Linked DNA regions of Rhinolophus ferrumequinum. The protein of the gene in region 1 interacts with the protein of each later gene in a biochemical or structural test. Links are inferred from orthologs where the notes say so. Each region holds a gene or a part of one and is shown in the gene's direction. Other genes may lie near its edges.

Region 1 (6,927 bases):
GCCAGGAGCTAGACCAAAGCTTATCTCTTATCAGGGAAGATAAGAAATGTGGAGATTGGGCTGGGGCCCAGCTCCCAGGGAGGGGGAGAGTGGAGTAGCGGAGATTGGGTCTGGCTGGCTACCTCTGGCATTCCAACCCCCCCCCCCAGAGGTGTACCCCTTTTCCTTCAGCCCACAATCACATTGGGGTACCTGGAAACATTCGGTTCCCATTCTCTGGCCCTCAGATCCAGGGGAGCCCCTCCTTCCTTAATCCCTTCTCTCACCTGCCTTCCTGTCTCTGCCCCTAGATACCTAAGGTCACAGCAAGGGAAAGGTTATTCCTGTCCCAACCCTTTGGCAGGTATGCAGCCCACAGGCTACTTTTTCAAAAAGCTGAGGTGCCAGATAAAGAAAAACCTCTGACTCCTGGAGCAGGTGGGAAGCAAACCTCACCCCACGTGTATCAAGTGCTGCCTCTCCCCTGACCACCAACACCCTTTTCTTCTGCGACAGACACCAGAGCCCAAACTGCTTTATCTCCCCTCCTATTGGGCCAAGTTAGGGAATGAGAAGTCATCCATTTTCTGGATAAATCAACGTGATGTGCGTGATACGTGCAAAACAAGGTCATGTGGGTAAGACTGGGGTGAGGAGAGGGGCAGCAATGAGTTTTTGTGGGGCCAAGGTCACATGGCTCCCAGAACCCTGACCCCAGACACCAGAAGGGGACAAGAGACGTGCATGTTATGACCAGAGGCACTTTCACTCCAGCTCTTCCAGGCTACGGGTGGGGGAAGGAGCAAGAAAGAGGTATGCACTGCACATTTCTGAGGCTACTGCATTTGCTTTCAAGGCAGAAATCTTGCTGTCTGAGCAGAGTCAGCAGCTCCTACTTGGGCCAGATAAGGAAGCTCTCCTAGGCCTCTCCCAGGCAGAGCAAGGAGGAGCCTGACCTTGCCCAAGGCAGGTCGCAAGGGGTCCAATCACATAGGCTGCTCTGGGCCTCTAGCATTTGTGTTCTTCAGAATTAAACTGCAGTTTGGAAAGTACACCCTGTCCACTGCTTCTTTGAGATGTGCATGGGGGAGGGGGGATCATGTTGAAAGGATTGTTAGTGCATGTTGGAGGCACTGTCACTGACTGCCAAAATCATTTGATCCTCGTCCTTCAGTGTTCCCAACTGGTCACCTCACCCTTAACAGACTGCCCCCCAGACTCTGTGACCAGCCTTTCATCTGGAAGGAGCTTAAAGGCTTATCTTAAGGTCCTAATCATTTTTTTTCTTTTTCTATTGAAGGAAGCCTGGGCCCTTTTCCCTGTAGACTGTATCCAGAGATTGGTTACCTGACTCTGTTCTGCCTCTCCCCACCCCAACTCCCTAGCCAGACGCTGACGCCAATGCCCAGGCCATTGCCCTAGGTGGCCTGTCCTCAGTGGACAGACCCTGCAAATTCTCGGGCTCTCTGCTGAGCCTTCACACTGTCCCAGTGAGGATCAGAGCACGCCCCCTCCCCCCCATAAGCAGGTCCTGAGACAGCACAAAATGACTCCACAAACGGGAAAATGTTGTTATCCAAACAACTCTGTTGGGTCCGAGGTAGACCTCAGTGTTATTCTTAAGACCGCTGGAAACCTCGTAGCCCCAGACCCGGAGCGGTTTCCCCGGCAACGTTCGCCCCTCCACCCCCGCATTGGGGCTGCACACTAGGTTTTGGCTCAAGGCTGTTGAAACTTTAGAGTCCTTTACCCACCGGTTTGCTCTCCTCAATTCCCGCCACTAGTGGGGGAAAATCAGAACCCAGCCAGCGGGCCCGTCTACCCAGAATCTGGAACTCGCCCCGCCCCCCGCCTCAACTCCGGCCACTTGGTAACAAACACTTCCACTTCCTGAGCCCTTTCTTCTCCCGCCGCGGGGCGCCGGGCCGAGCGCAGGGCACCGCCCCTGCGCGTTCCCATTGGCCGGCGTCGTTCACCCGGCCAGAGCTCCCCCTGCCCGTGGTCCCTGATTGGTCCGAGGTGGTCCACACCCTCGGCGCGGCCCCGCCTCCTAAATAAGGTCCGGGGCGGGTTCTGGGACGCTCAGACGCCGCGCGGGACGGGGATTGGTCTACGAGTTATTTTTTTGGCTCCTCGCAGTTCACTGCTGCGGCTCGCGGGACACCTGCTCGTTCTGCCGGCGCGGAGATTTGTGGCCGCGCTCCCTCCAGCCTCGCAGTCCGCAGGGCTGGGAAAAGGACTGGACCGTGCAGTCTTCGGACCCCTACCGGACCCTGCGTAGCGCCGCTGAGCCATCGTAGAGCGAGATGAGCTCTGACGCGGCGGCCGGGGCACCCCTGCCCCGGCTCTGCTGCCTGGAGAAGGGTCCGAACGGCTATGGCTTCCATCTGCACGGGGAGAAGGGCAAGGTGGGCCAGTTCATCCGGCTGGTAGAACCCGGCTCGCCGGCCGAGAGGGCGGGGCTGCTGGCGGGAGACCGGCTGGTGGAGGTGAACGGAGAGAACGTGGAGAAGGAGACGCATCAGCAAGTGGTGAGCCGCATCCGCGCGGCGCTCAATGCGGTGCGTCTGCTGGTGGTCGATCCCGAGACCGACGAGCGGCTGCAGAAGCTGGGCGTCCAGGTCCGGGAAGAGTTGCTGCGCGTCCAGGAAGGGCCCAGGCAGGCCGAGCCTCCGGCCGCCGCCGAGACACAGGAGGCTGGCGGCGAAAATGAGCCGCAGGCCGCCGCTCAGGAACCGCGTGAAGCCGAGAAGAGCCATCCCGAGCGGGTAAGTGCGGGCTGGGCCGGGCGGCGAGGCTGGAACGGCGTGGGAGGGAAGGATGGGGGAGAGACCCAAGCGCCCCGCGCCCGCCTTGTCTTTCTGAAACTCGATCCTCGAGGGGGAGACTGCTTCCGCCCGCCTACCGGGCTCACTGGCAGTTACAGGCTTGGGGCTGCGTCCCACGACCCCCACCCCCTCTCCAGACTCGCTTGGACTCTGAGCTTCTTTGCCACCTGCACCTCTTGTCCCTTGGCCTTTGGAAGTGAGGGAAGGGAGGGCGACTCAGGGAAATCCAGTCCCCGTTTCCTCGGCTCTGTTGGTGGTGTCTGCTCTCGTTTTTTCGCAATCCTCTAGTCCCACCCTCTCCGGGCCGGTTCTTCGGCTATCCTACTTCTAGCCGCCGCATAGTTGCCAGCTTCCTCCACGGTCCCTGTGGGTGGTAACAGAAGCTGGGGTAAAGTGAGTGCGGCCCCGACTTCAAAAAGCTAGAGGAATAACAACTCCCTTTCTGTGCGGAACCCTGGCGCTGGGAGGGCAGGGGTCGCAGGCAGGGTTTTACCCTCCAGCCCACGGGTGTGTGTATCCTTAACTTCATCTTCAGCCCGGCTGGACTTCATCCTCTTCCTGAAGTCCAGTGTGACTTCTAAGAAAGACAGAGGAAGCCCCACCGTCTTAGGGCGAAGTGGGGGGTGGGGTGCGGGGAGGAGGTGCAGAGGCCTCTCGGGGGTGGTGGCGGCGGCGGCGGCTCTGCCGCCCAGGAGGATTTATGATTCTCAGGAATGTGAGGAGTAAGCGCTAGCTTGTGTCGGCGGGGAGGGAGGATCTTGAAGGAGGAGAAAGGTGGCTGAGGGGGAAGGAGGAGAGGGAGTGGTCCCGGGGCACGCAGCTCTGCAGGGGCCAGCGGAGCATGCTGTGGGCAGGTGGTCTTGCCCTGGCATCGTCTGACTCACTCCAGTGCCCCGACAGCCAAGCAGGCTGGTTGCTTTTTGCCCATGTTTGGTTTTTCCCTAAACGATCCCAGTTTGGGTCAGCTGCAGGAGGAGCAGAGGCAAAACAAGTTGTGCTGAGCCTCCTGTCCCCAGAGAGTGAAGGGGGAGGTCTTGGTGCAGACTGTGGGAGCAGGGCCTATATGGCTTGCAGCAGCTCTCCACCTGGTGGCAGTGTGTGGCGCAGGTGTCTGGTGCCAGCAGGAGCCTCCCCTAGACAGAGAAAGGGTACAGTTTAGCATTAAGGTAGAAGGTGGAGCCGGAGAGGACCAACTGGTTCGGTGGAAGTGAAGGAAGTGAGGTCACTAGGAGCCCTGTCCAGCCGGAGCTCCTAGTGCCCGGAATGCCAGGGCCTCCAGGCTCCCACTTCCTGCCATTGCCAAGCCGGCATTGGCAAGGGTGGGGCAGGAGTCAAAGCATCCCTGCCAGGGGTCAGAGACTAGGGAGTTGGTCCCGGGCAGAAATACAGTTTGAACTTTGTGCTGAGGGCATTGATTTGCCATTCTTTTATTTTTTTGAACTTTGGCACTCACACAAGTAGCACACCCCCTCCCCCAGCAGTTGCATCATGTTCAGCTCCTCCCATTGCCCTTTTGGTTTTGCTGCTGGGTGCCAGAGGGCCTGGGGGGGGTGGTAGAGGACCTAGCACATGCGCCACCCCCATCTGAAAGGACAGCAACGCTTGGCTTCCTGCTGTCAGGATGAGCACAGAATCAGATTCCCATAGGTGGTGGTATGACACCTGCATTTGTGTGTGCTTTGTTAGGCCAGCAGAAGGGAGTAGAACCACTCCTACCCAGTCCCCCTGTCCCAGGGACACAGTCGCCAGGCCTCTTGGGGTTTCAGGTCAACAAGCAAATCACAGAACTTCTTTGAGACTTGGTTCTCCCATATGTAAAATGGGGACCTTGGAATACAGTGATACCTACCTTCTCTAGAATTTTATAAATAACAGAAGTACTCATGCCCCTATGGAATACTGAATTGAGTTCCTTTATGTCCAGGCATTTGAATCCCAGCTCTGTGCAGCGCGCCACCCCCCCTGCCTTTAGAGTTATGCATAGCCAGTCAGTACTGTTAAATCCCTCTTGTAGGAAATTGCCATGAAATCTGGGCATGCAGGTGACCTGCCTTGACATTGCAAAACAATGGTAATATCGTGTTATTTTTTTCCTCAAAGGCCTCTCCTACGTAAAGCACTTCATGGTTTACTGATTAGTTGTAGCCTGAATTTGTTTGCAAAGTGGGTGCTGTTAAGGCATCTTCATTAGTCCTCATAAGTGAAAAAGGTGGTATGGGGGAAAGTGCTCTGCAGATTGTGGGTGGCAGGTGACAGCTCATTGGGAGGACGATACAGGGCAGAGGGCAAGGGGTGCCTGTAGTACTGGTCTAGGAGGAAGAGGAGGTGTACTTCCAGCTCTGCCCACCTTTGTCGATGGCTTCCCCACCTCCACACCCATGGGGAGAGAGCAGTAGCAGCTCCCTGGCTCATAACCTTGCAGTCACAGGATGGGATCTAAACCCGTGAGCTTGGTGCTTGGCACATGGGCCCACAGTGGTGGCTGGGCAGGCCTAAGCCAGCTCAGCTGTATTCACTGGGCCACCTCAAGCCAAGTTCCTTAACCTCTCTAAGCCTCCATTTCCTCTTGTGTAAGTTGGGGGCCATAGCAGCTGCCTGGTGGGTTTATCGGGATTACACGAGGCTGTCTGCAAAGCTCAGTGTCTGGTACTCAGTAAGTGCCCGGTATTTGAATTAAATATTTCACAGTGATTGTTACACACCTATCCATGGGGCAAGTAGCACTGGAGCTGCCTCCCTCCTTAGGCAGGTGCAGCTGTGACCACGCCTGGCACTCAGTACATGCTCAATCAGGGCTCGCTATTGTGGAATAACCATATATTCCACGGCCCTTCACTATCTGGCAGCCGACTCTCCCCACCTCCCCCTTGTGCCTACCCCACCGCACCGAGGGTCCAAATTCTCCTCTAGCACACCGTATTCACTCAGTCTTTGTCCCTCCCTTCCTGACCTCCCTCAGCCGGAGAACCCGTCAGCCCCCCTCTCCACTGGGCACTCTCTCCAAGACCTCTCACCTCCCAAGGAGACTGTCCCCGCCGCCTCCTCCTGCTCCCTGTCCTTACATCTTTTATTGCTCTGAACACACGGTATTTGAATCATCTCTTTATTATCTCCATCACTGCATGGAGAGTTCCCCAGGGCAACCACTGTGGCTGATTTGTGTTTATATCGCCAGCACTGTGCCTGGCACAGAGCAGGGAGGGGCTCAGTAACATTTTTGAAATGAATGCATAATAGCCACCCGGGACCTTTGTCCTAAATCATCTCAGTCCAGCACACCCAGGCCTCATTACGACTCAAGCACACCCAGAGGTCGGAATTCCAGACAGAACCTACCCACTCCTTTTTCTTGCCCATGAGCGGCTTCCATTTTAAAACTAGGAGTGAGCCAGATCAACATGTGAATCCCAGCTCTGCCAACTGGCTGGCTCTGGGCCCCTAATTGTTCATTGTTCCCTGCAAGCCTCAGCTTCTACCTCTGTGAAATGGGGACACAGGCACCCATCCTGCATGGTTGGTGGGGGGATCCGATGAGATGACGGGCGGCGGGGGTAAGTGCCCACCTTGCCTGACCCTGATTCCAGAGGCAAAGATGGTACAGGCACCCCAGGTAACAAGGTGGGTAGGTGGGCACCATGAGCCGGCAGCCTCCCAACCTCTTTCCCATGTCTGGGGGAACAGAACAGAGTTCGAGCGGCAGGATGTTGGATTTGAAATGGACAGGGTGTGTGCTCTCGTGTGTGTTGGTTCCTCCTCTTAGGCCACGTATGGGGTCTCTTTCGCCCTTAGTATACAGCCCCTGGTTCTTACTTTCAGGGCTGTGTCTTGGAACCCAGCTCACTCTGACTCCAGTGTCTGTTTGCACATCCATTTGGCCACACAGTTGGATTGTGCTCAGGGGCCTGACTCTCCAGCTGGGCGTCTCTGCCCATCAGAGTGACATCAGTTCAGGCTGCTTGAGCCATCTCCCTGAAAAGGTCCAGGTAGCTCCTGGCCTATCCCTTCTCCTGTGATGGGCCGGGTGGGCAGTCTAGTGACCAAGGCTCTGCCTCCACCCTCAGGTCCTGAGAACCCGCCCTTGCTATCTCTGGGCTACCCTGGAGCACAAAGGGCCTATCTG
Region 2 (6,927 bases), on another chromosome or scaffold:
CATCGCTGTACATGTGCCCTTGCAGAGCTGAACGTGTTTGGGATATGACCCTATGACCAGAATTATGGAGTCAAAGGATGCGGATACTTTGCCAGGCTTGGAGCTTCGTATCTGCTCCAGGTGTATCTGGCTCCTGGAGCTCTTTTCTTGGGATAGGCCTACAGCTTGCTGAGAAGCTCACTCTGCCCCTCCTGGGAGCTGGGACTAAGAGCCCACTACTATGTCTGGAACCACTAGAGAGGAGGAACGTCCTCCCAGACAGAGTTTACGACCAAAATAGCCTGTGCCCACTCCCATGTCCGTCGTTGCCCTGTTTATGGAAAACCAGAAGCCAATGGAATGTGAAAACTGCACAGCAAAGTCTTCAAGAATGTCTAGGCCATGTGGCTGGTAAAATCACTGAAATCTTAAAACCAACTTCTTGGGGCTTGCTTTGGGCTCCTTAGAAACCTGTCCCAGGCCCTGCAGCTCAGGCCTGGCTCTTTCAGTCCCTTCCCCTCTCTGGGCCTATCTCCCCCACAGGTCTACAAGAGAGTGTCACCTGACAAGATGGTTGTGACTTGTAAACTCTAAAGCACTGGACTTAAGTGAGGAACTATCATATGGCTCCAAGTATTGATAATCCCGGGGTCAGAAGTAGGCTGCTGGGAGCTGAGTCTGTGTGGATGCAATTGGCCTGTGCCTCCCAATATAAGCTGTTGGTAAGAGCTAGATTCAAATCCTGGCTCTGCCATAAGCTAGTTCTGAGATCCTAGGCACCGGACTTCACTTCCCTGTACCTCACTTTCCTTAACTATAAAATCAGGCTAGTAATAGTATCTACCTTGTTGTGCTAAAAGATTACAAGAGATGGTGTGACCAATTTGGAAAACAGTTTGCCAGTTCCTCAAAAGGTTTAACAGTTACATATTACCCAGAAATTCCCACTCCTAGGTATTTACACAAGAGAAATGAAAATATATGTCCACACAAATGCTTGTACCTGAATGTTCATAGCAGCATTGGCTGCTATGTGGAAATAGTCCCAAAATAGAAACAACCCAAAGTGGAAACAACCCAAATGACTATCCCTGGCAAATGGACAAATAAAATGTGGTCTATACGTACAATGGAATATTATTCAATCATAAAAAGAAATGAAGTATTGACATATGCTACAACATGAATGAACCTTGAAAACGCTATGCTAATTGAAATAAGCGAGACACACAAAGGCCACACAATCATATGGTTCCTTTTATATGAAATGTCCAGAAAAGGCAAACTGTAGAGACAGAAAGCAGATTAGTGGTTGCCAGGGACTGGGGGAGGAATGTTGGTGAGTGACTGCTAATAGATAGGAATTTCTTTTTGGGGTGTTGAGAATGTTCCCAAATTAGATTATGGTGATGGGTGCACAACTCTATAAATATGCTTAAAACCATTGAATTACAAACTTTAAACGGGTGATTTTTATGGTATGTTGATTATATTTCAGACCTGTTGGGAAGAAAAAGATTACAAGAAGTAGGTAGAACTTGGGGCAGTGAATAGCTCAATAAACGTTGGTTATTATTCTTATTAATTAGGTCTCCCACGAGCTAATTTAAAGCCCCAGAAGCAGTAAGCGGGAGTGGGGGGTGGGGGTAAGAGGGTGAGGGGGAAGGTCTGAGGAACTTCTAGGTCAGCCTGGGTCTTTAAGCCTCTGTTCCTGGGCGAATCCCCGAACCATCCGGAGTCTCCTCAGAGCTCCTCATAAGTGAATGGATGAAATAATCCCCACCAATGTTCTTGGGGTCTCGCGAGGAGCGGCTCAGGAGGAAGATGCGGAATCTCCGGCGGACGCCTCGGTCCGCCTCTGCCTGCTTGGCGTTGCAGGTGACAGGCCCAGCTCGAGCTAACCCGGAAAGGCCAGAGCTCTTTCAGGTGAGCTCTCGTGATTGGCAGCCCTGGGGGGGAGGGCTCCGGGTGACGGCTGCTCCGCCCCCTCACGTCGGGCCAGTTGGCGCCATTCTGAGGAAGGTGGGAGGGCCCCTGGGTCCGCGGCGCCCATTGGGCGTAGGGGGGAGCTCCCGGGAGGGCCTAGGGTCCCGCCCCCAGTCTTGCGGCTGCCAATGGGCACGGCGAGTGGGCGGGGCGTCGGCGGCGTCGGCGGTGGCTGGGCGGCTGAGGCGGCTGAGGTGGCTGAGGTGGCCGCTGAAGCTGAGGCGGCGGGCGCGGCCGGGATGGCGAAGAGCCCTGGAGAGAACGGGCCTCGCGCGCCCGCGGCCGGGGGAAGCCTATCTGGGACCCGGGAGAGCCTGGCCCCGGGTCCGGACGCCGCAACCGCCGACGAGGTCAGCTCTCTAGGCTCCGACTCAGAGGCCAACGGCTTCGCCGACCGCCGCATCGACAAGTTCGGCTTCATCGTGGGCTCGCAGGGCGCGGAGGGCGCGTGAGTAGCACCGAGGCTCGGGGCCCTGGGCCGGGGCCGGGCGTGGGACCCGCGGGGGGAGGGCTCGACGTGGACAGCGCCCTCGGGACGGACAGACATGCCCCCAGCCCAACCAGAGACAACCGACCCCTTCTCTCCCCTGCCCCCCCATCTCCCCCAGACAGACTGACCTGCCCCTCACCCGCGAGCCTACTTCCGACCGAGGCACAGACAGGCCAAATCCAGCTTCCTTCTGCCCTCACCATCCATCCAGTGGTGGCCCCCCCAGGAAAGGCCGACCGACAGTGCCCTCCTCCCAGCTGTGGGACAGACACTTGTTCCAACATCATTGCTGCCACCCTGGCATTGGGGCTGATTGACTTTGCCACCTCCTGACAGGCTCACAGATGGCTGCCCCTCCCCCAACAGACAGATATTCTCTATACCCCCCCCCCACGAGACCCACAGACGCCCTTGTCTTATTAACCCCATTAAATAACCCCTGGTGTGGTGTCCCCACACCAGGGGACACCTTAGGCAGGCTTCAAAGGGACAGACTATCCTGTGCCCACCCCACTCCAGGATAGACTGACCCTTACGTCAAGACACACCTCTGGATGGACTGATATTGGTCAACTAACGTATGGACAGCCCCCCTGGGACACACAGCCCCTTCGCCACACAGAAGGATCAGAAGTGCTTCCCTCCCCCTTCAAAGGCCGATTTCTCCCTGTCACTGGCAACAGGTGGGCAGACACTCCCCCTTCCCAGTGTCCACAAGGCGAGAGTGCCTCCCCTCCAGGACAGGCTGTCTGCTGTTTCTGTGTATGCTCTGGAAATGTGGACTTCTTCCCAAAACTCAGACTGGAGAGGAGGGGCCGGCGGGGAGACAGCAGGGTTGAAATCGCCTACCCCCAGAGCACCCAGGCACTCAGCAGGCAGAGAAATGTGAGCGGTGGCATGGCACCTTCCCTCCACGCTGGGAACAGTGGGCAGCCTTATTCTGCCCCCACAGGATCCCCTGAGCCCAGTCCTCGCAGAGATCATAGTGTGGGCTAGTGGTCCCCTCAGGAAAGAGGGACTCCAGACCCCTCTCCCACCCTGTCCTGTCACAGGAGACCAGTGCTCTGCACTGAACTGAAGCCTCCCTCCTGATGTGCCTCCACTTCGACAGAGATAGCCCCCCACAGTCACCTGGGGGGCCCCACAGTACTCAGCCATGACCCTTCTCCAGAGGGTCCTTCCTCCCCTTCTCTGACCAGTTGTAACTGCCCAGGGCTCCTCCAGCCTCTTCTGACTTAGGGAAGTGTAAGAGTCCCAGCCCACACAAGCAGCCCCATCAAGGTCACTTCCGGGATTTTCCCCAGTCTCAAAGCTTCGTATTCACCAGGCCTCCTCCTCTGGAGAAATGCAGGCCCCTTCCTTAAGGAGAGTTCATTCCTACTGGATCTGTGTCCTCCGACCTCTTCCCACTTGCTCACGACCACTAGGCCTAGCCCAGTCCAGCACTCAGAGAACACCTCTTATTCTGATCCCTCATCCTGACTTGACGCGTTGTCAGATTCCCTAGAGATTAGCTTGTGAGAACCCAAAGGGGATTTAAGGTATATTTGTGAATTGAGGAGTAGTCACCAGGGACCAGAACCCTGGGAGGGATCGGGTGTTGAGAAGTGGGAAAGGAGTTCCCAGTTGCATTTGTGGGTTCTTGGAAGGAAGAGCTCAGATTTGTTGGTGAATTCTAGGAGGTAAGAATTCCTACTACATGTTTATAAGGCAGTTAACTAGATCTCGGGGTACAGAGCAGTGTGATATAGAGGAAGAAGTCTAGATGTAGGAAGAACTCACACTTGCTGGCTGTGTGACCTTGGGCAAGATGCTGAATCTCTGAGCCTGTTTATTCACTTTAAATGGAAATAATAACACCTATTCCCAAGATTACTGTGGAGATTAAATAAGATCAGGTATGCAAAGGTGCCTCACACAGTGCTTGGCACAAGTAGTGGCCCAGAAAACATTAGTTTCCTTTCTTTTCCTTCTAAGGGTCTGAAAATTGAGGAGAAAAATGAGGGCGTACCTCTGGTATTTGTGGACAGAGAGAGGCCCCAGTGGGAGCACCTCCCTTTGGCTGTAGTCCCCAACCAGGCTGCCAGACATCTGTCTTCCCCACCCTCCAACCACAAAGGCCGTGGACACCCTCTGCATCACTCGTGTCCATAGCGCTGGGGCTGAGGTGGGGTCCCAGGTCCCCTCCTCACTCCCTGCCTCATTTTCTTGACCCTGTTAGTCAACCTAAAATCTCTGGTTCTGAAAGCATTGTTGTCTCCTGCTTACTTTATATTGTGGTTCCAAAAAAACCAAAAGTAAGTCGCTGCCCATGACCATGAGAGGGGAAGTTATGGGAAGTTTCAGGGTGATTGCCCTGAACCCAGTCTCGTGGTCGAAGTCTAGGAGTCCATGTGCTATCCCAGAGAAGTGAAACATTAGCACTGATGGCTGCAGTGGAGATGGCAGGGACTCTGGCTCCAGATGAAAGGTCCATTTCAGCCATGCTGGGCCAAAGATTGTCTCAAGATGGTCAGTTTTGGCAGATGCCAGGGGCTGGGGGGATGGGGAAGAAAGCAGGACAGAGGCTACCCGCTCAGGTGACTGTTAGGTGCCTGGCATGAGTAGATCGTAAAATCAAAGACTGAGCTGAGCTGGAAGAGATCTTAAGAGATTGATCAGCTTAGCCCTTACTTATTATACAGATGAGGAAACCGAGGCCCAGAGAGCAGAATAACTTGCTTAAGATCACACAGCATATTAGTAGCAGAAGCAAGACTTGAACCCAGGGTGTCTGACTCCCAAGGTCAGGACAGTTTCCACTGCCTTCACCATTCATTAACGGCCTATGGTCCCAGCATAAAATCAGGTGCTGGACAGTAGAACAGAAGGTTTCCTAACAGGAAGCTGCCCAGCCTCACCTTCCCTGGCTTAGCTCAGCACTTTTGACTCCCTCAGAAGTGGAGGAGTCTAACAGGGACGGCCCAGCAGGGGTAAGAGTGTGTCGTCTTTACCAGTTCATTAGACTGATCAGCTTCAGGGCAGGGGCCAGACTTGTTCAGCTTTTCTCCTCAGGCCTACAGCAAAGTAAATGCTCAATTAATACTTATTTACTGAATGACATTTACTGACAAATATTTCAAATCAGAAAGCTGAAAGTGACCTTAGTGGCCGTCATCTTACAGATAGGTAAACTGAGACCTGAGAGAAGTGATTAGCCTTACCTCTTCAGTCTATTAGGAGCAACGTCAGGAATTGAACCCAGAACTCCTGATTGCCAGCCCTCTAGGCCCTTTTTGCCTCTTCACCTTGTCTGTCTTTTGAGCCTACTCTGCAGGGAACCTTTGATGGGACTGAGATGGTCACTCCCTGATCTTGAGCATTAGCCAGTAAGTGGGAAAAGGCAAGAAAGCAGCCAGCCAGCAAAGGATCCTGTGGGTGGCATGGGCACAGACAAGGGTGCTGGCCATGCTAGTTCCTTTGGCTTAGCTGAGAACTGAGCTGGTTGTTGAAGCCCAGGAAGGACCAGAGGAGGAGAAAACAGTGTCCTGAGCAGGAAAAGGTACAAGGAGAGATGTTACCATTGCTATCGCTTTGGGGGTAGGAAGAGCAAACCTGTTTGGGGCGGTGGGTGTTCCTTCTGTAGCAAAGAGGAGGTGGTCAGGAAGGGAAAGAAGTTAGATACCAGTTAGATACCAGGTCTCCTGGCCCGAGAGAGGTGGGTCCCTGACCTCCCTCTCCGGTTCCCATGTGATTGCCAGGCCTGGCCTGAGCTGCAGCTTCCCACCCAGCTTCAGCCTGCTCAGTGTGGCAGGCCATGTGAGGTGAGGAGCTTTGCTCTCTGGGATCCTGTGGGTGTTGGCTTCCTGTCGGGGGAGAGAGGGATCTGCGTTGGGCCTCGGGAGAAGCATCTGGAACAGTAGTGTTGTCTTCTGCTGATTCAGTTTCCCTGTCCCCTGGGCCCTCCACTTCTCCTAGCCAACTATGGCAGCCCTATGACTTTGGAAACCATAGAACTGGCTTAATTGGCATCCTTAGAGTTTGGTCTATGCCAGTTTTTACTGGGGTAGGGCCAGGGCCCTCCTGGCAGGCCAGAGCCTGCCTCCTTGCCTTCCCACCACCTTCTCCAGTTTATAAGCTCAGAGCATCCTCTTTTCTTGAACGATTAGTTCCCAAAAGCGCATGGAGCTGGCAGTGGAGTGGTCCCTGGGTGGCCCATCTGGAAGGAGGCAGCTGCACATGTGGGGCCTTGGTCTGTGACTCTAGACCACAGGCCCTCCATTTTCTCTCTTCCTTCTCTTCCTCCAGCTTCAAAGGTAAATCCGGTTTGGTGGCCCTGGGGGTGTTCTAGTGCCTCAGACAAGACTTGACTTGGTGAAGGAGGGGGCCAGCTCACCAGCTGCTGCCCTGGGAAGGTGCCTGTATGTCCGCCTATTAAGAAATCCTAAGCTGTGGGAAAGTGATAAGATTGTGGGGCCCGCTTGATGTTTTGT

The links. The genes of interacting proteins can lie anywhere in the genome.
Region 2: the proteins of NHERF1 (region 1) and TBC1D10A form a complex in vitro, tested with the Homo sapiens proteins (2 studies listed by BioGRID and IntAct). The link is inferred for Rhinolophus ferrumequinum from reciprocal best matches to the Homo sapiens genes NHERF1 and TBC1D10A.

Annotation. Positions count from the first base shown.
Region 1 is NC_046304.1:49,904,856-49,911,782, forward strand, and holds the start of NHERF1 (Na(+)/H(+) exchange regulatory cofactor NHE-RF1), read left to right. Parts: upstream 1-2,046; 5' UTR 2,047-2,285; coding exon 2,286-2,747; intron 2,748-6,927. UniProt on the Homo sapiens protein: Scaffold protein that connects plasma membrane proteins with members of the ezrin/moesin/radixin family and thereby helps to link them to the actin cytoskeleton and to regulate their surface expression. Necessary for recycling of internalized ADRB2.
Region 2 is NC_046308.1:19,520,456-19,527,382, reverse strand, and holds the start of TBC1D10A (TBC1 domain family member 10A), read left to right. Parts: upstream 1-2,102; 5' UTR 2,103-2,204; coding exon 2,205-2,413; intron 2,414-6,927.